4 linked regions of the Caenorhabditis elegans genome follow. The protein of the gene in region 3 purifies or fractionates together with the protein of the main gene of each other region. This does not show direct contact. Each region holds a gene or a part of one and is shown on either strand. Other genes may lie near its edges. The genes, in order: lsm-4, snr-7, sart-3 and lsm-5.

Region 1 (4,367 bases), on a different chromosome or scaffold from region 3:
TACAACTCCAATAACTGCTCGAAAAGAACTATAAACTGCATTATGAGTTGAATTGAGCATGTTGGCGACAGATGAGACTGCATTTACAACTGATTCGATTGATTGAAAAGCGCCTCGAGACTGTTCTTCTGCAAGTCGAGCAAAATTGCTGTCAGGTCCTTGACCATATCCCATATGGTTGAAGCCACCACCAAATCCACCGTAACCCATTCCTCCTCCATACATTCCCCCACCACCATACCTAAACAATATACAATTTTATTAATACAAAATATTTTCAAATCGAGGCTGCGCGAAACGTAGGCCCCTTTGAGTTATACAGTAACCCATTCTCTATCATTTCGGTACTGACTTTATTCGGTAAATTACCCAGACATGATATTTTACGATTTTGCGTCAAGGATACGGTACCCGGTCTCGAAACGACACATTTTTCTTAAATATGAAAAGGTGTGCGCCTTTAAATAGTACTGTAACAGCAAACTCTCGTTGCTGAGGGACTTTCATCGTTTTTTCATGCTTCTTCTCTCTTTTTTATTAGTATACTTGAATTTAAAATTAATTTATCGGAAAAACTACGAAAAATCCATGAAAATAAGGCAGCGACGAAAGTTTGAAACTACAGTACTCTTTAAAGGCGCAGACATTTTAGCATTTACGAAAGAGCATTCAAAAAAAAAAAAAATATTTAAAAAATAAAACTTACATTCCAGACCCTGGAAACGTATTCATTCCATATCCTCCACCATAACCAAAACCTGTATTGATCATTGGATTCGACATTTGATTCTTAAATATTATCGATTAGTAGGAGTTTCAAAACAATTTATCAATAATTACATCAAATGACCTTGGCGGCAGCGGAGGTGGTTGATTTGTTGGAGGTGCGGACATTATAATTTATCTGTAATAATAAATGGAATGTCGTTATTCGATTTTGAAAAATGGATTAAATTCAAGAAAAAATAAAAGAAATGGCAACTATGAAATTGCCGTTAGTCACATTGTGGACTACAATCAATGACTGCAGCGGGCGGTTGATAAGGACAACGTCCCATACTAGACTACATTGTAGTCTAGTAAAAGAGTGGGAGGACAGATGAAAGATCTTAAGATATTGTTGAAGTATAATTCAATTTATTGTAATAAAATTTCAAAACATGTGAAACAACCCGACTTGGGGAAGATCAGAAGAGACGGAGGAAGGTTTGGTTTTTGGGTAAAAAAATAATTTCAAATACATAAATTATTTAGAGTAAACGAGAAATTGTTATCAGCAATCGAAGCACTGCAGGAATTATCGAGCTCCTCCGCGTCCGCCTCGGTTTCCACCACCTCCGCGGTGTCCTCCACGTCCTCCTCGTCCACCACCACGACCACGGGATTGCTCGCGCTGCTGTTGACGACGAACTTCGTTGACTTCAGTTTTCACGAGATCGACCACCTGGAAGAATGGGAAATGTTATGTTGTCGAAGAGAAAATCAGGTACTTACTGTTTCTGGAATTCTGAGATACTTGATAGTAGATCCCCGGACATACGCTTCTGACATTTTGAAGAACTTGTCACCGTCCTGTAATTTAACATGTATTGTTAGTCGCAAATTTGCATCAATCCGAGAGTTTTAGATGTTTGAAATATTGAGCTGACATATGAATGCAAATTAAATATGAAAGGTTCTTTCTAAATTAGAATCTGTGAGCCGTTTAAAACAAAATTATGTTTTTTTTCAATAATAACGAAAAGAAATTTCTGAATAGCCAGTTTCTCCTGGGCTAACCATTTAATTAAACGAAACACTTACTTTTGATGTGAAAATAACATCCACCAAATGAATATTCATCCACGAATCGCAGGCTTTCAGGTGACCGTTATAAGTCTCGCCGTTCTTCAACTCCACAAGCATCGGGTGGTTTTGAGCGGTTTTGAGAAGAGAAAGTGGCAACTGAAATCATACACTATTTGAGTTCAGCTTAATTCGACTTACCACCATGACTATATTGATTTAGTGGGGTTGTGATTGTTTTTCACTAGTAAAACTTAAAGTGAGACAATCTGCAAAGAATAAATTAAGATTTTAAACTGAAATTACGGCGAAAAGACAATTCGAAACAAAAAATTCCGATAAAAAAAGATTTTAATGCACACAATATTTACGTTAAACAAGGCGACCATGCGTCATTTCGGAGGGTCGTTGGTGGATGATCATTTGAAAACAGGGTTCACCTCTGCAATCGATTTTTCTTTGTTTTCATCTCAAGATTATTAGTTTTATTTTAAAACATGATTTGAGGAATTTTAATATTTATAGGTTCAATGGCTGATGATACCGGAGAACATCCGGTATGCTTCAACTGCACATTACGAGTCGACCAAACCATTCATGTCAAATGCTTTGAATGTCCTCTGCGAATTTGTATCCTCGTGAGTTGACAGATTGTGAAGTTTTTAAGAACATTATTTTATTTTTAAAATTTCAGTGTTTCCAATGCGGCGCGGAATCACCACCACATCGCCGAGGTCACAATTACGAGCTTGTCAAGCCAACAAGTAATCCCGAAGCAATGAGCTGGACACACGAAGATGAATTCGAATTGTTAAAAGCTGCTCATAAATTCAAGATGGGAAATTGGGGAGAAATAGCTGAAAGTATTGGTCGCGGAAGAAAAGATGGTCATAATTGCAAGGATTACTTTGAAAAACATTTCGTGCGTGGATGGATTGGACAATTTTCCATAAAAAGTTCAAGTTGGGATCGAATTAAATATGGGATGTATATAAATCAAACATTAGACAGTGTGCTACAAAAAAACTGTTTGGAATCAACGGAAAGAATGCTTCTGATTCGAGACGCCGTTCGTGCATCTGGAGAAAGCTGGGATGAAAACGATCCGAAACTTGCGATAAAAGTGCAACAAGTATTAGAGCAGTATGTGCAAAAGTAAGTGAAAATGTCCTATTTTTCATATATTTAGAATTTCTTCAGAGTAATCGATGGTGACATTGAAACCAAGTATGAGCGCCCAAAATTCCTTACAAATCAATATGAGACGGAGCTTAGCCCAGATGACTGTGATCCTGATAATGAAAGAGATATGAAATCGAAGCGATCAGTAAAACAGGAAATAAATACTGATGATAGTGATAATGACAATTCGCCGGGCCCGTCTTCCAGTTGTCGGAAAAAGGGGCCTCCGAGTCCAAAGAGAAGAAAAACTACTCGAGTTATGAGAGAATCAAGCAGTGATTCGGACGATGATGTGAGTTTAAGGAAAATAACTAAATTCAGTTTTATGTGTATTTTTTCCAGAAAAGTCAAGCTTCTGATAAAGACACCTACCACGGCATGGAACGCGAAACAGAAGAAGAAGATCCTCCAAGCGCTTTTGAGACTGCACAGGAATTTGATACAGAAGATGAAGAAGAAGAGAAAAAACCAAAGAGAGGAACAGCTTCGAGCTCAAAGAGACGAAAGCGAAGGAGGATGTGGGTTTCGAAAAAAGATAGAAGATTGCATGAATTCCGTAAAAAGATGAACCGTGAGCAGAAACAAGGAGAAAAAAAGTTAGAAACTCTCGGCGCAATTTGTTCTTTAGAAGAAGTTAAAGAGCTCAGAAGTGCATATCCTCGTCTACTTCATGAAAGTGGTGTATCAAAGTCGGAAACTCGTCCAAAAATGAGAAGAAGTGATGAGTTGAAAATTCTTGGATACAATAACGAACGTGAAGAATTGGAGTGTGAATGGTTCAATGAAGCTGAACAACTTATCAGTCGCCTCACAATATCTGCTACGGAACCTCAGAAAGATCAGAGACTCGATATGGAAAATGATATTAAGTTCGCCCGTTTGAGACATTACGTTCGTCTACTCGGAATTCGGAAGGCTAAACGAAATACTGTGCTTGAACATGACAAGATAAATGAATTCATGAAATTCTACCAAGAAGCATGCTACGCAGCAGCCAAACGTCCAGTGAGCCAGCAGGAGATAATGGATTCACGTACTGAAAAGGAGAAGCTATTGGCAATGACTCAACAATTCCTGACTAGAGACGAGTATCGTAGCCTACGAGCATCCATTGAACGTATCGATAATGTAGTGGAACGGATCGAAGTACTTCAGGATCTTCAGAAAAACGGTATTAAAATTTTTATTTATATTAAAATCAATTTAAAATGAACAATTTTCTTTAGAAAAAAACATGACAACTTTGTCCTATTGAAAATTCATAAATACCGTTTGAAATTCTTATTATTATTTTATTTTTCAGGCGAGACCACTCTCAAGAATGCTCCAGTTGAACGCAAATCGAAGAAAAAGATGAGAAAAATCGATTGTGAACAGAAGAAAAAGATTGCTACCGAATG
Region 2 (4,121 bases), on a different chromosome or scaffold from region 3:
GTGTGTGTGTGTGTGCGTGAGTGATTTGTCATTGAAACAACTTCAGAATGACATAGTGCCACGGAGGAGACGGGAGGAGAGAGAACAAAGTACAAGTGATTCGCGCCGGAGATCAGATCAAAATAATTTGAATTGATTTGAAATGTTCACCAGAAAAATTGTGGGTCTGCATTTTTAAAAGACGGCGTAAATGGGAATTATTACAAAATAAAAAACGCGGAATCATAACAGAATTAATTTTTTATTTTTAAAATCGGGATTTTGCAATTTTGGCTAAATTCCTTTAAAAAATGAACGATCAATCAGTTGGAGTGTGGAGAATTCAGCCAAAATTGAAAAAAATCGCGTTTTTTTTATTCGGATTTTATATTATTTCGCGATTTTCTTCCGGTTTTTCCTGAATTCGAGTCAAAACATTGGATTTTCTGAAGCTTTTGAAATTATTCGACTTGAAAAAAGGTGATTTTTCCTAATTATCACTGAAAAGCGTTCAATTTTCAAAAGAGAACATCGATAATTTTCGGTTTTTCTCAGCAAAATGTGAAATCGAAGTAGAAAACTCTTGTTCAAATCCAGATCAGGTTTGGGGATTGGCGCCAATTTTTCAAAATGACCTATTGTGACATGTTGATTCATTTAAAATTGATGTGAAATTATAGAAAATCACTTGATTTATCTAAAACAAACATTTATTTCAGTCGAAACACTTGAGGAAGAGCTCAAAAATGGCCTGAAATTAGCAAATTCAGGCTATTTTTCAGCATTTTCTCGCATGTTTCAACTGAAATGGGTGTTATTTTCAGATAAATCGTCTGATTTCTATATTTTGGCGAGAAATCAAGCGAATTCACTGAATTCCGGCTGAGAATCTGCCGCGTTTTGAAAATTGATATTTCAACTCTTCGACGGCTGCAGCCACAAGAGTACGGAAAGATGAGAAAGCACATCTCGTACAGCTTTCGGATGATGATAGGCGTGTGTGTGGAACATTTTTCTGTTTTGAAAGAAGAAAATAGGTCGGCAGAAAAAGAGATAAGAAGTGGGGAAAGAGTATTCTTTTTTGCTGCTGTTGTGCCGAGTAAGAGTAACGAGAAGAATAAAGAGAGAAAAATGTGGAGAGCGTCGTCGACCGCACATAGTGGAAAGAGAAGAGGGATACACAAGTCTCTCCGTGTTTTTGTTACTCTGTTTCGTGCCTCTCTTCAAAATGAACACTATTTCGTTCAATTTGAGCCGTGGAAAAACAAAATGCTGAAAAAAAGCTTTACGATTGATTTTTTTTATGCCTGCAATAATAAAACATAACTTTTGGTACATTTGTTTGTGAATTGATTCTATTTGCGAAGTTCTTATCTATACGAAATTCACGTGAATCAGAGATGAGAAGTGGGTTTTGACCACGTAGTTATCAAAAATTATCAAAAAAAAGGTTCAAAAATTTAATATCAAAATTTGAAAATGAAAACATTGAGAAAGTGACAGGAAATTGTGGAGATCGAAAAATCTAGGAGATTCTCTCCTTGGGCTCCATGATGACGACGGAGTTTCCGCGAATGACAGTCATGCCGAGGTTGACGGATCCTCCGTCCTTTTGGTACTCGACAGCTTCCTGCAATATTAAATTTTAGAATAAATTAGACAAAAACGGAAAAAGAAACATACGTCGATGACCATGTTCATGAATGGATCGAAACCGCGGAGGATTCCAGAGACGCGACGGTTTCCGTTGAGCTTCAAGTCCATCTCCTTGTCCATGTACTTTTTGAGCTCTGGTGGATGTGTCTTACTCATTTTTCTGAAAAATTGAGAATTTGCAGGGGGAAATGAAAATGAAGAATGGAAAAATCATCAAAGAAACAGATTTTACTTAAAATAGAAAATAAAGCTCATTTTTCAACTTCCACCTATCGAAAATTCAGATAATACATTAATTATAACATTTTTTAACTAATTTTTCAAAGAATAAACATGATAATTATCAGGAAAATTGGATGAAAAAGGCTAAAATCGACGAAATTATTTTTCGAAATTCGAATAGTACGCAAACACCACGCTTGGTACACCATAAATGACGACAAGTTGCAGACGCTTGCACACCGTACTCACACAATTCTTATCGGATTTCCGAGCTTTTTCTTTTCGTTTTTCCAATTTTAGATGGTAAAAAAGAAGAGTAACTATCATATTCTCGTCGCACAAAATTTCTTATCAAATATCAGTGTTGATGGAAGCCACAATGACACAAATCTTCGAATTTTCCAAACAAAAGGCCTTCCGAAGGTGAGAATCTTGGTTTTTCAGCGATTTTCGTAACTAATTGATAATTTTTTCAGATATCTCCAACGGAAAAGAAGTTTTCAAACGGCGCAAGCTCCACAACCACCATCCGCAACAATGAATCAGTGATCTCACTCGGAACATCCGCTTCACTCGGAGAACGGCTAAGCTCGTCGAATTTGCCGCAGGAATACGCGGAGACACCACAGAAAAAGTGAAAATTAGTTGAAAATCAATATAATTAATTAATTTTCTCTATTTATAGAACTTCAATCTTCCGAAGAATCGCGAAAATCATGAGCTCCGACGACGTGATCTATTCAATGACCGCCACAAACAGTAGATCTCCGATTCTTGAAGAAGGCGTCGGGAGAGAAGATAGTGGGCTGATTGGTGAGCTGGCGAGCTTATAAAAGCTTACAAAACTTGAAATAAAATAAATTAATTCAAAATTTTCACAGAATTTCGCTCAGAATCACCATCTTGTTCTTCAAATCAGTTCAGTTTTCTGAGAAGGCTCAAAAGCACCATTACCCATGCAGATAGGTGAGTTCAACCATCATAAAATCCTCTAAAATCCCCCACACTAACCGTTCCGTGTTGCGAACTAACCCACATTTTCAGATTTTACATCTGCACCTCGACGAATGGCCAGCCTCTGGCAGTTTTCTCGTATATCTCGCCGAACAGCGACTACGTGGATCCGCTGGCGCCGATTTTCGCCAACACAACCGTCAATAAGAAGAAATTCCGATCGAAATCGATTTTTGGAAGGTTTAGAATTAACATCTCCTCTATAATTTATATCTTCTACCTAATTTTCCCCGAAAACTGGCAATTATCTAACAAAATTTCACAAAAAAAGCGCAGGAATTCAGAAATTTCGGCTATGCGATCTTAAAGGCACATGGGTTTATTCAGCTGTGCATCGACGCGAAAAGACAGCATGTGGTAGTTTTTTTTGTTAAATTTTTCAGTTTTCAGACCGAAAAAAAGGAAAACAACGCAAATTTTCAGCAGAAAGTAAGAAAAAACGCTGCAATTTGCTAAAAATCCGTGCGCCTTTAGGTCAAAATCTTGAAAAAATACGATAAATTCCCATAATTTCACCTTATAATCCAATTTTCCAGCTCGGATCGCATGCGGCATCAGGCTCACTTATCAACAGAAGAGCTGCGGCCATTTGTCTTCCGAGACGCTGAAGATCAAGTAATTCTGGGGCAGATTCGCCGAAAGCGGAATCCTTCGCCGTTTTTCACGCTGTTCGACAAGTCGCCCGCCTCGATTTCCAGGAAAGAGCGGAGGGTGAGGCTTTGAATTTTGAATTTTAAGATTCAAAATCCGCGGAAAAAAGGCGAATTTTAGCTAAAATCTTCAATTTTACCGAGTTTTTCGTGTCGTAGCAGGCGAAAATTCGTATTTTTGCAAATTTTGCTCGTTTATTTCACTTTATATCGTTGATTTTCGTACTGTTTAAAGATGGAGTAGCGCCAGTGAGGAAATTGCTTTAAAACATGCCTATGGGGCCACAATGGCCGAATATCATGATAAAAAATTTTTGAAAAATGTTCTAAATTTTACATGATTTTTTGAAAATTGAAAAAATCTCAGTTTTTGCCTAATTCCTATTCGAATTTCCGCCAATTGGATTTGTTCGATTGAGCGCGCTTGCACGTTTTTAAATTTATTTATTTTATTTTTTGTTATTTTCCACCGATTTTTAATGTTTTCGGTGTATTTTTGCTCGAATATTAGAGAAAAAGTCAAAATGATTGCAAATTTTCAATTAAAAAGCACTCTTACAGGCGTAAATCAGTGAAATCAATTAATTCAGGTTCGAAATC
Region 3 (7,158 bases):
TTCTGGATGACGTTGGCATATCTTCATCATCAGAATATTGTCCTGCATATCTCGGACCACGAACTTTAAAGTTATTCCGAACCATCTGAGTACGTCGGATGTGTGCACGAAGTGATTCTTCCTCCTTCCGGGCATTCTCACGCCGTGTAATTTCCGGATTCTGACCAACATCGTCCATGACTTTAACTTGAGCATTCTTCCTGCTTCGATCTGCCATATTGAGTGTGACTTTTCTGTGAGTTTGGGAATCAGTCGAGTGAGGACGGAAGGTCATACGATGTGTAAGAACAGCTTGAGCCGACTAAAAATGACATAAATTTTGATTAAAATAAAAACATTAACAATCAAAATACCATTAATGTTGGCTGCTTAACGTAAAGATGGGGAAGATTATTGGAATTCAGCGGCACCAATGAGACTTCGAAAATTTCGTTTCCGAGGTATAGAGACATTCTGAAATTAAGTCACGATATGGAAATTTTGCATCAATTGAAAACTAACGTTCCATCGTCCCATTTTACAATTTTTGCATTACTCTCTCGAATTTCTTTTCCATTTTCATCTTTGCGAACTCGCCAGCGAAGTGTATTTTCCACCTTAAAAATTGTATATTTGATGAGATGTATTTATAACACAGACATACTCTCAATTTGAGACGTGTTCGTCCTTCATCATCCAATTTCGCCTGCTCATCATCTTCGTCTTCCTCGTAATGTTGTGGATCAAATGGATGAGTGGCGACTGATAGAAAGTTTGGCATTCTGACAAAATGTGGTGGATCTGCAGCGTACTCCAAAGTAACACGACCTGTTACCATCTGGAAAATCAATGTTTTAATCACATTATTTCATTGAAAATGTTTACTTCAGTATCATGAACATGCTCCTTTGCTTTTTCATCTTCATCTATTTCATCTGGATTAGCCATCACAATTCCTTGCAAATCATTCAAACTTCCACGACTCTCCGCATCGGAATCTGACAATCGTGCTCTTGTATTTGATTCTTTCGGCTTTCCTTCTCTGTCGGAATCATCGTCGGAAGAGCCAGAGAGATCACCGAACAAACCACCACCAGCACCGGGGGAACTCTTTTCACCTCCTCCTCTCGGATGAATGTTATCGTCAGAAGAATCGGACAATTGTCGAGGAGCAGGACGAGAATCATCATCATCGTCGGACTCATTTAATATCGCTCTTTTCTTAGACGGTTCTTGTTTTTTTGGTGAATCTGGCGACGATCCACGAGAAGATGGAGTTGATCTGAATTGAATTATATTATTTTAGAAACACAATTACCATTTACTTACGATTTAACTGGTGTTCCTGGTGCAGAAGCGTCAGAATTACCCTCAGAAGATGACATCTGAATTGAAAATATTGCATACCTAAGTTCTTTGAATAGCGAAAGTAGCAAAACAAAGTAATAATTTGGGGTCGAATATACCGATAAAAATTGAATAATAAAAGTAGTTGTTGAAAATTCAGATTTTCTTATCCATAGGCAATAAGTTGAAAATGAATATTGGGGGATCTCTATTACAAATTATTAGCAAACAAAAAGAAAACAAGGATTATGAACAGTTATGAAACTAAATCTTGCAATTCGTAGTGAAGAACAAATATAATTATAGCGAGAACATCAAAAATAGCATCTACCGGAATTTTAATTGGAAAGGAGACACTGGGGAACGTAATAGAAATTAAATAACTAAATGAATCTTGATATGAACAATGAAAGTTTCTGGTGAAAAACGGCCCTAATTTTTCATAAACATTTTACGGAATTGATCATTTGAAAGTGGCTGAGACGTTGAAGTGCCTTCGGAAACATCCATTGCGTCCAGCCGAGCAGTGATTTGAGGAGTTTTGTTTGCTGAAAATGGATTTTTTTATGCTAAGCTGGGAACTAAAGATGATATACTTACTAATAGCTCTGGGAACCAATTGCAGTTTTGCAGCATGTCCTTTTCTAGGTCCATCTTCTTCCAAACTTGCTCCAATTGCTGCTGGTTTTCCATGCGATTTATCCTTTTTTACTGGTGGATTGGATAACGCTACCTCTAGTTCTCTTTCTCGAAGCATCAATTTATCACCAGAAGCAACACATTTTTGAGCACTTGCTTCTGTGTCAAAATCTACGAATGCGATTCCTTTTGGTTTTCCATCTTTATGAGTCACGCGTCGAACACTGGTTACTGTACCGAATTTCGAGAATAATGCCTGAAATGTATCGATTTAGAATATAAAATGATAGATAAGTATATATTACCTTTAACTCATCGTCGGTTGCCTGGAAGTGGACATTGCGAACGAAGACTTTCGATTTTTCAAGAGTGGTTGAGAATTTGAATCCAACCCGTTTTTCTGGATCGTTGGCGGAGATCTGAATTTTCAGAAATTAAAATTTCACAAATATTTATAAAGTAAAATTAAAACTTACAAACATTGGCCTTCCCTTCACAGGAACTCGATCTTTCAAGAGAGCTTGCTGTGCCTTCTGATCATTCTCCATTACAACATAGGCGAACCCTCTGTGCACAAGATCCGAATTCGCTTTTCTTGCGAATCGAATTGAAGCAACACCTTCAATGGCTTGTCGAATTTCGTCTTCCGTCGTAGTGAAATCGAGATTAGAAACAAAAATTGTGCGAGCATCTTCCGTTCCTGGAGCTGCTTTCTGAACTGCAAAGGAACCTGGAGCTGGTGTCGACGAAGCATTTGAAGAGGATACAGCTGATGAACTTTTCGCATTGGATGGTGGAAGTGGAGCTTTGAATCCTAAAATTTAATTCAAATTAACTTCTTTACTTTTAAAAATTATTTACCTCCGTCGTCTCCTTTCACTTTTTTTACAATTGGTTCACCTCCCGACGTTCTCTTCTGAATATGATCTTGCTTTGATTTAGGAGCTGGAGCTGGTTTCTCAGAAACTTTCTTTTGTGGTCGAATGGCTCGATGAGCAACCTGTGAATTCACTTTCTCAAGAACCAAATCCAACTCAGCCAATGTTCCTTCTTCTCTTTCAAATTGAACATAGTACATATAGATTTCGTTGATGTTATCCGATACAGAATTGAGAGCTTTGTTTAGATATTTTCGAGCATTTTCTTTATCACCGAATTGTCGCTCAAGACGAACAGCTTCAATCCATTTTCCGGCAAATCTTCCGAATCCTGATGCAAGAATATCATTCCAGATATTTCGACATTTGTCCATGTTCTTCATTAATGAAGCATAGAAATATGCTTGCATTTGTCGATAATCTGCTGTAGTATCCCAAGCCATTGAAAACCATTCTCTGAGTAGCGCTGCACCTTCATCAAACACTTCAGCCATTGGAGAGTAATCCGAAGAACCAGTGAGATGAATTCGACGGCGAAGCAAAAAAGCATAGGTACGGTAAAGACTCCGTCCTTCTTCGGCAGAACTGAAATTACACCGAATAAATATATAAGACTACTGTATGTATTCAAAAAAGAAACTAACTTGATAACATTGCTTCTTGCTCGTTCCCATAATGCATCAATTTCCTCATTTGGCCGACGATCTCGTTCGAAGGCGAGAAGAGCTTGTTGATGGAGAACAAAACTGTATGGACAATGACGCAGAGCTCGAGAGTACACTTTTACAGCAACCTGAACAAAATAATTCAATAATCCAATGGAAGCTTTAGTAAAATAATAATATTCAACAATATTTTTTTCGAATCTTAAAGATAATTATAATCTCTAGACAGACCTCTGGATATTTCCGATAATTCTATAATAAAAAGTATTTCCTTACCTGTGGCAATTTAAGTTCAATATCTGCCCATGCTCCATATGCAATCCAAGCTTCCTCGTCATCGTCCAACTCAGAAACAAGCCTCTCGTGAGCCATTTTTATTCTACTAGGAATTCCACTCTTCTTCTCGTGATCAAAAAACTGTTTCAGACCTTGCTTTTTGGTTTCTTCCTGTTGAATGAGCTCCTCGAACTTTGACAATTGTTCCTTCTGTCGCATTGTTGAATTATATGTCTTTTTCAGTTCTTCGAGTTTATGATGTTGTTTGAATTCTGTGCAGAATTGTTCAGCTAAAACATAAACATCTTCGAGCTGATCTGTTGGGCAATGAAGGGCTCTCTCGAACAGAGCGAAAACTTGATCAGCGAGTCGTTGATAGTCAGGAGCATTCATAGAATCTGAAAATTATAAATTGTTGATGAAAGTACAGTAGTAAGCTCACTTTTCAGGTAGCTCATTTCATATTCCAGAAAAATCAGCCAAATGTGCCCTCCAGAATCGTACCGAGTTCCAAGGTTTTCAAGAGCTTTGCTACAAACCTGTAAAATTATAATAATTACATTTTTCAATCAAAACTTACATCTCGGCAAAACTTGAAATCCTCTTTTTTGTTTTTGTCGTTCGCAACCTTATATGCGTACATTGCTCTTTCGACCCAAATAGTGACATCGTTCTCATCAAACAGAGCTTTTTCAAACATTTCCTCGACTTCTGCGACACTTGGCTCCGGTTTTCTGTTTTGAAAATCTCTGAAATCAGTTTTTAAAAAATTATAATTAACCTATTTTTTTTAACTTACTCAATCCAGTTTTTCCAATTTAATGGATTAAGTGGGGCCCATTCGACAAATTGCCTCCTTTTGATATCAAGCTCGTCGAAGTCACCATTTTTTCGCAATAAAATCAATAATTGGTTTGCAAGAACGACACTTTGACTATCGTCGATCATCTGAAATTGTATTTTGTGTATATGAAGTATATTCGATAATTAGTTCATACCTTTTGCTTGATTTTTTGAATTTCTTCATCCAGATCCTCCATTCCGGAATCATCCGAGCCGGATTCCATATCCACATCGGACATCTTGCAGAATTTTGATGGAAACTGATACAAAAACAATAAATATTAAAATAAGAGAGAAACAGTGCAGAAAAAGCACGGAAATAACGTTTCGAATGCAAAAGTGCGATAGAGCGCGAAAGAAACGGATTTTTTAGAAGAAAAAATATTTTCTCTCCGTATTAAAATATAGTTAGCCAGAATCAAACTGATAAAAAAACAACAAAAAATTCAAATCCATGCAAGCTTTATAGAAATAATCACGGGTAATACTTATGCAATAAATAAAATTTTGCAATCCATAAGCTGAATGAATATTTACAACAGAAATGAAATGTGTGCGGGTGAGGAATGATAATATTGTACATAAAGGCTGGAATAATAGTTTTGAAGATTATTTTTCATTCAATCCGAACAGCATCTTGATATCTGCCGTCGTCAATTTGTTCATCTTGCGAGTAGCATTTCCGTCGAGAACAGACGAAGCTAGCGCGACTTTGTCCTTTTGCAGCATTACAACTCGTTGTTCGATCGTTCCTTTCGTAACCAATCTGCAAGATTAACACACATATTATGAATTTAATTTTCTTGCCGCAATCAACGAACCTATGAATGAAAACATCCTTCTTCTGCCCCATTCGATAAATTCTATCGAAAGCTTGCTGTTCGAGAGCCGGATTCCAATGCAAATCCACCATCACTAAATGATTTCCACCTGTCAGATTGAGCCCAACACCTCCCGCGGCCAGAGAGAGAAGCATAACTCGAGCACCACCTTTCTCCCGATTAAAGCTGTCCACTCTCTCTTGACGATCCTTGACCAGAACTTGTCCGGTAATTGATGTATATTTGAAACCACTTGATTTTATGTGAATTTCGATCAAATTGAGAACCGATGTCCATTGAGAAACAATGACACTGAAAAACATAAATTTGAATTTATTTTCAACTTGGTGAAAACATACACTTTCTCTTTCTTCTCCATAATGTTCTCAACAATTTCAAGTGTATTTTTAATTTTACAGCTCAGGTAGTCCGGATCGAAAATTCGTGTTGTAGCCCTCGGTTTGTCTCTTTCTTCATTGTCACCATTTCCCAACGTCATGTTCATAGTTTTCTCCAGTAACTCATTCAAATCGTCCACATTCGCTTCCTCCGCATTGTCTCCACCGATTAAGCTGAAAGCGTCCATGTCGACTCCTGTTTTTGTGATATTGAAATGAACACAAGCTTGTCGAAGACGAAGAAGAAGCATCAAAACACATGACATCTTTTCGAAGTTCGAGCCGGCTGCCAAATCACGTGGACCAACTGAAAATATTCAATATTAATTTTTTAAACATCACAGATTCTTACAATTGAAAGGATTCTGAACTTCTCCTTCCTTTCCTGCTCTTCTATTGCGACGAGGAATAAATCCATGATTTTTCATATCATTGGAATCTTGCAGAAGTTTTTTGACGAATTTTCTGAAAATTTGTTTTATGATTTTCGCCAATGTTACAAGTGAGTCACTCACTTGGCAGCCTCCATCATAATCTCATAAGCCTGTGCTTCATCTCCGTCCAACTCCAATTCGTGGACTTCTACATTTTTCGGTGGTAACTGAACTAGTTTCTGGTTTGTCACAGCACATGTTTGATCCTTTGTACGACGAAGAAGCAGGTTCTTTGTGAGCAAATTTACGCGATCAGCCATTATTGGTTTCATTGGCATGATCGATTCTTTCCAATATTTATCGTCACTGAATGGACGAATACGCAAGAATCGAACGAGACTGTAAAGATCCCAGAGATTGTTATGGATCGGAGTTCCAGAAAGGCACCATCGAGAGAATGCTGATAAACGACAGACAGCTTTCGAAGCAAGAGACTGCCGATTTTTGATGGTATGCGCCTCGTCAAGAATGACTCGAGACCAACAGATCTGAGCAAGAACGGAGTCGTCTTTTCCAACTGCTCTACGAATTCCAGTATGATTTGAATCCGATTCACCGTCAGATGAATCATCTGCTTTTGATTTAGTCCTTATTTTTTCGATTAATTCATTTGCGATAAGATTGAACGTGGTGATGACGACATCGTATCGAGCAAGACGTCTTGCATCGATGTCCCTCTGCTTTTTTGTGCCATGAAACATGTATGTCGATAGAACGCTGTCATCTAGTCTTCTATCGATTTCAGCATCCCATTGATGAATCAAACTTGCAGGAGCAACAATCAATGTTCCATTCGACGGAATTAGTCCTTGCTCTTTTACCACTTTACGTTTTTCTTTGTCTTTATCGTCATTTCCATCTTCTCTGCGAGCTCTACG
Region 4 (3,852 bases), on a different chromosome or scaffold from region 3:
CCAGACGAAGTTTCGGATTATTGATAATCATTTTTAAGTCGGCAGAAGCCAGCTTCAAATAGCTTCCGTTCTTGATTTTTTTTTCGCGAAGTGCTCCATGCTTATTGAACTTGATGGAGCATCCGGCGCCATTTCGACAATAAAAAACGCACAAGTCGTCGAATTTCAGGATGACATCTTCGCGCGCACCGGTGAGAACGACCATTGCCTTGAAACCAGGATCATGATCGTCGACGGTGTCACGGAAGCGACGGGAAACTTTGCGAACGATAAGCCTGGAAATATTCATATTTTTTATAGAAAAATTTATACAGTTCTAGTTACCGATCAATTGGCTTCACGTGATCCAAGATATTGTGAAGAACGGCGAGTGGCATATCGGAAAATGATGGTGGCTTCTTCCCCGACCTATAAAAAAAAAAGAAAATGAGCTCGAATCCTTGATTTTCATCTTTTATTCCGCTTACAGCTTCATCGAATCCAAATCTTCAACGATTTCGACGACAGTCGCTTCATTTGATGTCACGGATAGGGAATAAGAGTCGCGGAGAGCTATTTGAGACATTACTTTCTTCTGAAATTACAAAATTCAATGAGAAATTGCGGAAAAAAACAGCGGAACGGTAAAAAAACACATCGTTGTTTTATTGCTCAGCTTAAAAATTTTAGGTTTGATTGGCTGGACACGCCCACTTTTTGAAATTTGCGAGAAACCAGGCAATAAATAATTAATTAATGATTTTTCCTCAACAAAATAACAAGTTTAATGATAAATTATATCCCAAAACGGCGAAAGGCGCTTTAAAAACATTTCGAAAAAAAAAACAAATTTGGTTGCGCGTCAGTTATGATACATTATACGCATTTACGTATTCTGGGAAATACAGTACTATCGGGAAACTTTTTTGATTTTTTGGAAAAAATTGGCAGAAAACTTAAAATAAATACAGTTCAACTTAAGAATTTTGTCATTTAACAGGACAAATTAAGGTTGCTATCAAACACGATAAGTATTTTCACTTTTTCACGTATTTTGGGCGATTCTGCGATTATTTTTGTATTTTCAGCTCGAGCAGAATTCGAAAAATTATTTCCAGGGACGATCTGAACAATTAAGCCTTTTTAGAGCATCAGAAAGCTGCTATCTATTCTCAACACGTGCTGAATATGATCCTACAAGACCTGCAAGATGTACAAGTACTTGTTAAGTGATAAGAAAAAAAAGAGAAAAATGCTGAAAAAACAGATTTAAAAAAAATTGTTTTCTTTTTGCTTCTTCATTCTGTTTTGTTCCTGTTATAAAATTTTCCAAAATTTCCTTCAATTTTTATTTCAAAATCGGAGAGATTCGTGGCAAAATAGAAAGTATTAGAAAATCACAATATTCACAGATATCAATTAAATCTCTGGTCCTTCTCCTCCCGGCACGAGCATCGTGATGTGATTTCCGTTGAGAAGAATCGTGTCCAACTTGGTCATTCGCTTGCCGTCGGCGGTGTTCTCGTATTCGACGACGTCCTCCAGAACCATGTTCACGTAGTCATCGAAGCCTGTCAGAGTGCCGACGATCTCCTTGTCGTTCTTCATTATCACCCAGATTTTCGAGCCGATGCACTTGTCAATGAGCTCCAGTGGGAGAAGTGTGTTTGGGTTGGTGGATGTTGAGGTTGCCATGGTTTCTGGAAAGAAAATCGGGTAAAATTTGAGAGGAATTGCTGAAAAACAGGAAAAATGAGGGGAAAAGATGATATTTATCAAGTTTTTTTAAAATTTTTCCTCACAAAAATTTTTTCAAAGCCTATTTTTCCAGAATTTTTGATGTTTTCTCGCTGAATTCACCGGTAATTTGCACATAAATTTCATTTTCAGTAAAATTCGTGTTAATTTCCAATCGATTTTAGAAAATTTTGATGAAAAGTCGTTTCTACAAGAATTTTGCTGGAATAATCGAAAATCATATGAAAAATACAGTTAAAACAATACCATTAATGCAATTTTAAAATATTTTAACAATAAAAACTCACAAAATTCCAAGAAAATCGAGGGAAAACGAAGAAAATCCAACAAAAAAATGTTTTCGATTTTAAAAAAATGTGTGTCGATTTACGGTAAGCAAGGCGACTATGCGTCATTTCGGAGTGTCGTTGTACACTTTTGGAGGGAATTTTGAATTTTAAAGCTATTTATTCAGAGAAAATCGCAATTTCTGTACAAGTCTCACAATTAAATACATGGCAAATACACGGAAGAGTACATAAAAACCCGGTTAAATATGTCACTATTACAATTATAGCGGTTAGACCGTAAAAAGCAAGGAAATCCCAGCGAAAAGGCAACTTAAAATATAGGAAATATGTTCAACCCGATTTTAATTGTCGACAGCTTCTGTGAAGTGAGACTTGACAGTTCCGAGACCCAACAGCTCTTTGGAAATCTTTTGGATTTCGAATTTCTTGACTTTTCCGGAAATTGTGAGAGGGAATTCGGACTCCTTTTTGATGAGCACGTACTTTGGAACCTTGTAGTGAGCCATCTGGAAATTTCGACTGTATATTTTAAAATAATGGATTAATAACTTACTCCTCTCTTACAAGCCTTCTTAATGTGCTCCGCGGTGATCTTTCCTTCATCCTCAACGCGAAGACGCACCCAGGCGCAGATGTTCTCTCCGTACCTGTCATCTGGCACACCGACGACCTGGAATTTTTTTGTTGAAAAGTTAGGCCATAAGTTTGAAGTTCAGGCCATAAGTAGTCATGGTGCCCTTGATTTAAACGAGAATAACTCGCCAGTTGTTACAAGTATCAAAAAGTTGCCAACTGAGTAAATGTAGAGAATTTTCTGTAGATTATTTTAATAAACTTTTTGATATTTTAATAAACTTTTTGATTGGACCCCCAAGAGCAAAGATAGAAGCTCCCAAACTTACATGAGCATCAGCGACATAGTCCAACTTATGCAAGAACTGCTCGATTTCGGTCGGATAGACGTTCTCACCACCCTTCACAATCATGTCACGAGTTCTACCGACAATATTGATAGTTCCATCCTCGTTCATCGTGGCGGTATCTCCAGATTTGTACCAGCGATCACGTGTAATTGCCAAGTTGGTCTTGTCGTGGTCGGCCCAGTAGCCGAGCATAGTCGAGTAGCCACGAGACCAGAGCTCTCCTTTAGCTCCAGTTGGCACGGGGACTCCAAATTCATCGACAATGGCGAGTTCTTGATGTGGCATCACTGACCCGACGGACTTGATTCGCTCGAATGGATCCACGTGGAGTTCCGACATGGTGACTAGAGGGGATCTGAATTCAGCTGTAAGATGGCATTTCGACAAAGAAGAACTTACGTCTCGGTAGATCCATAGATCACTGAAAAATCAGTCATTCTCATCTCCTTCACCATCTTCTCGCACAAAGCCATCGGACATGGGGCTCCTCCGATAACACCCCCTCGAAGGGATGAGATGTCGAATTGCTTCATAAGTGGAGACTTGAGCACGTCAATAAACATGGTCGGTGTGCCGAACATCGTGGTGCATTTCTCATTTTGAATAGCCTCGAAGATATCCGGAACATGGTAGGACTTTGATGGGAAGACCACAGTTTGTCCATGATTGACCGCGTTGATCACTCCGACCGCACATCCGAAGCAATGGTAAAGAGGGTTTGGGATACAGATTCTGTGATCCTCTCTATCCCATCCAAGGCGAATTCCTGCGAAATATGCGTTGTTGTTCAGCCCGAAATGGGTCAGAGTTGCTCCTTTTGGATGACCAGTGGTTCCACTTGTGAATTGCATGTTTACTGGCTCATCCGGTCGAAGTTTGCGATCCATGTCTTCCAGCTTTGC

What was found.
Region 1: the proteins of sart-3 (region 3) and lsm-4 purify together in Caenorhabditis elegans (affinity purification with mass spectrometry, with the first as the bait; one study listed by BioGRID). This does not show direct contact.
Region 2: the proteins of sart-3 (region 3) and snr-7 purify together in Caenorhabditis elegans (affinity purification with mass spectrometry, with the first as the bait; one study listed by BioGRID). This does not show direct contact.
Region 4: the proteins of sart-3 (region 3) and lsm-5 purify together in Caenorhabditis elegans (affinity purification with mass spectrometry, with the first as the bait; one study listed by BioGRID). This does not show direct contact.

What each region holds. Positions count from the first base shown.
Region 1 is NC_003280.10:7,251,110-7,255,476, forward strand, and holds lsm-4 (putative U6 snRNA-associated Sm-like protein LSm4), read right to left. Parts: upstream 2,055-4,367; 5' UTR 1,993-2,054; coding exon 1,987-1,992; intron 1,945-1,986; coding exon 1,804-1,944; intron 1,573-1,803; coding exon 1,495-1,572; intron 1,487-1,494; coding exon of another isoform or gene 1,453-1,486; exon of another isoform or gene 1,445-1,452; coding exon 1,298-1,444; 3' UTR 1,123-1,297; downstream 1-1,122. Other genes in the region: prx-13 (Peroxisomal membrane protein PEX13), read right to left, coding at 1-241, 707-789, 841-894; ada-2 (SANT domain-containing protein), read left to right, coding at 1,453-1,486, 2,311-2,423, 2,480-2,940, 2,986-3,259, 3,310-3,538, 3,596-4,138, 4,271-4,367. UniProt on the Caenorhabditis elegans protein: Plays a role in pre-mRNA splicing as component of the U4/U6-U5 tri-snRNP complex that is involved in spliceosome assembly, and as component of the precatalytic spliceosome (spliceosome B complex).
Region 2 is NC_003279.8:2,724,688-2,728,808, reverse strand, and holds snr-7 (putative small nuclear ribonucleoprotein G), read right to left. Parts: upstream 1,796-4,121; 5' UTR 1,792-1,795; coding exon 1,663-1,791; intron 1,610-1,662; coding exon 1,505-1,609; 3' UTR 1,427-1,504; downstream 1-1,426. Other genes in the region: Y71F9B.6 (Cyclin N-terminal domain-containing protein), read left to right, coding at 2,158-2,280, 2,334-2,491, 2,543-2,670, 2,739-2,823, 2,902-3,051, 3,408-3,582. UniProt on the Caenorhabditis elegans protein: Plays a role in pre-mRNA splicing as a core component of the spliceosomal U1, U2, U4 and U5 small nuclear ribonucleoproteins (snRNPs), the building blocks of the spliceosome.
Region 3 is NC_003282.8:11,328,006-11,335,163, forward strand, and holds sart-3 (Spliceosome associated factor 3, U4/U6 recycling protein), read right to left. Parts: upstream 4,888-7,158; 5' UTR 4,867-4,887; coding exon 4,783-4,866; intron 4,733-4,782; coding exon 4,584-4,732; intron 4,534-4,583; coding exon 4,365-4,533; intron 4,324-4,364; coding exon 4,227-4,323; intron 4,183-4,226; coding exon 3,785-4,182; intron 3,637-3,784; coding exon 3,488-3,636; intron 3,429-3,487; coding exon 2,827-3,428; intron 2,780-2,826; coding exon 2,442-2,779; intron 2,385-2,441; coding exon 2,271-2,384; intron 2,222-2,270; coding exon 1,927-2,221; intron 1,875-1,926; coding exon 1,759-1,874; 3' UTR 1,477-1,758; downstream 1-1,476. Other genes in the region: leo-1 (RNA polymerase-associated protein LEO1), read right to left, coding at 1-301, 354-453, 502-596, 644-817, 865-1,261, 1,309-1,364; F54E12.2 (Transcription termination factor 2), read right to left, coding at 5,237-5,393, 5,449-5,760, 5,808-6,153, 6,199-6,311, 6,362-7,158. UniProt on the Caenorhabditis elegans protein: U6 snRNP-binding protein that functions as a recycling factor of the splicing machinery. Promotes the initial reassembly of U4 and U6 snRNPs following their ejection from the spliceosome during its maturation.
Region 4 is NC_003283.11:15,568,202-15,572,053, reverse strand, and holds lsm-5 (U6 snRNA-associated Sm-like protein LSm5), read right to left. Parts: upstream 1,675-3,852; coding exon 1,399-1,674; downstream 1-1,398. Other genes in the region: fbxa-95 (F-box domain-containing protein), read right to left, coding at 1-275, 325-408, 468-565; acs-2 (Medium-chain acyl-CoA ligase ACSF2, mitochondrial), read right to left, coding at 2,369-2,533, 2,581-2,697, 2,930-3,305, 3,350-3,852.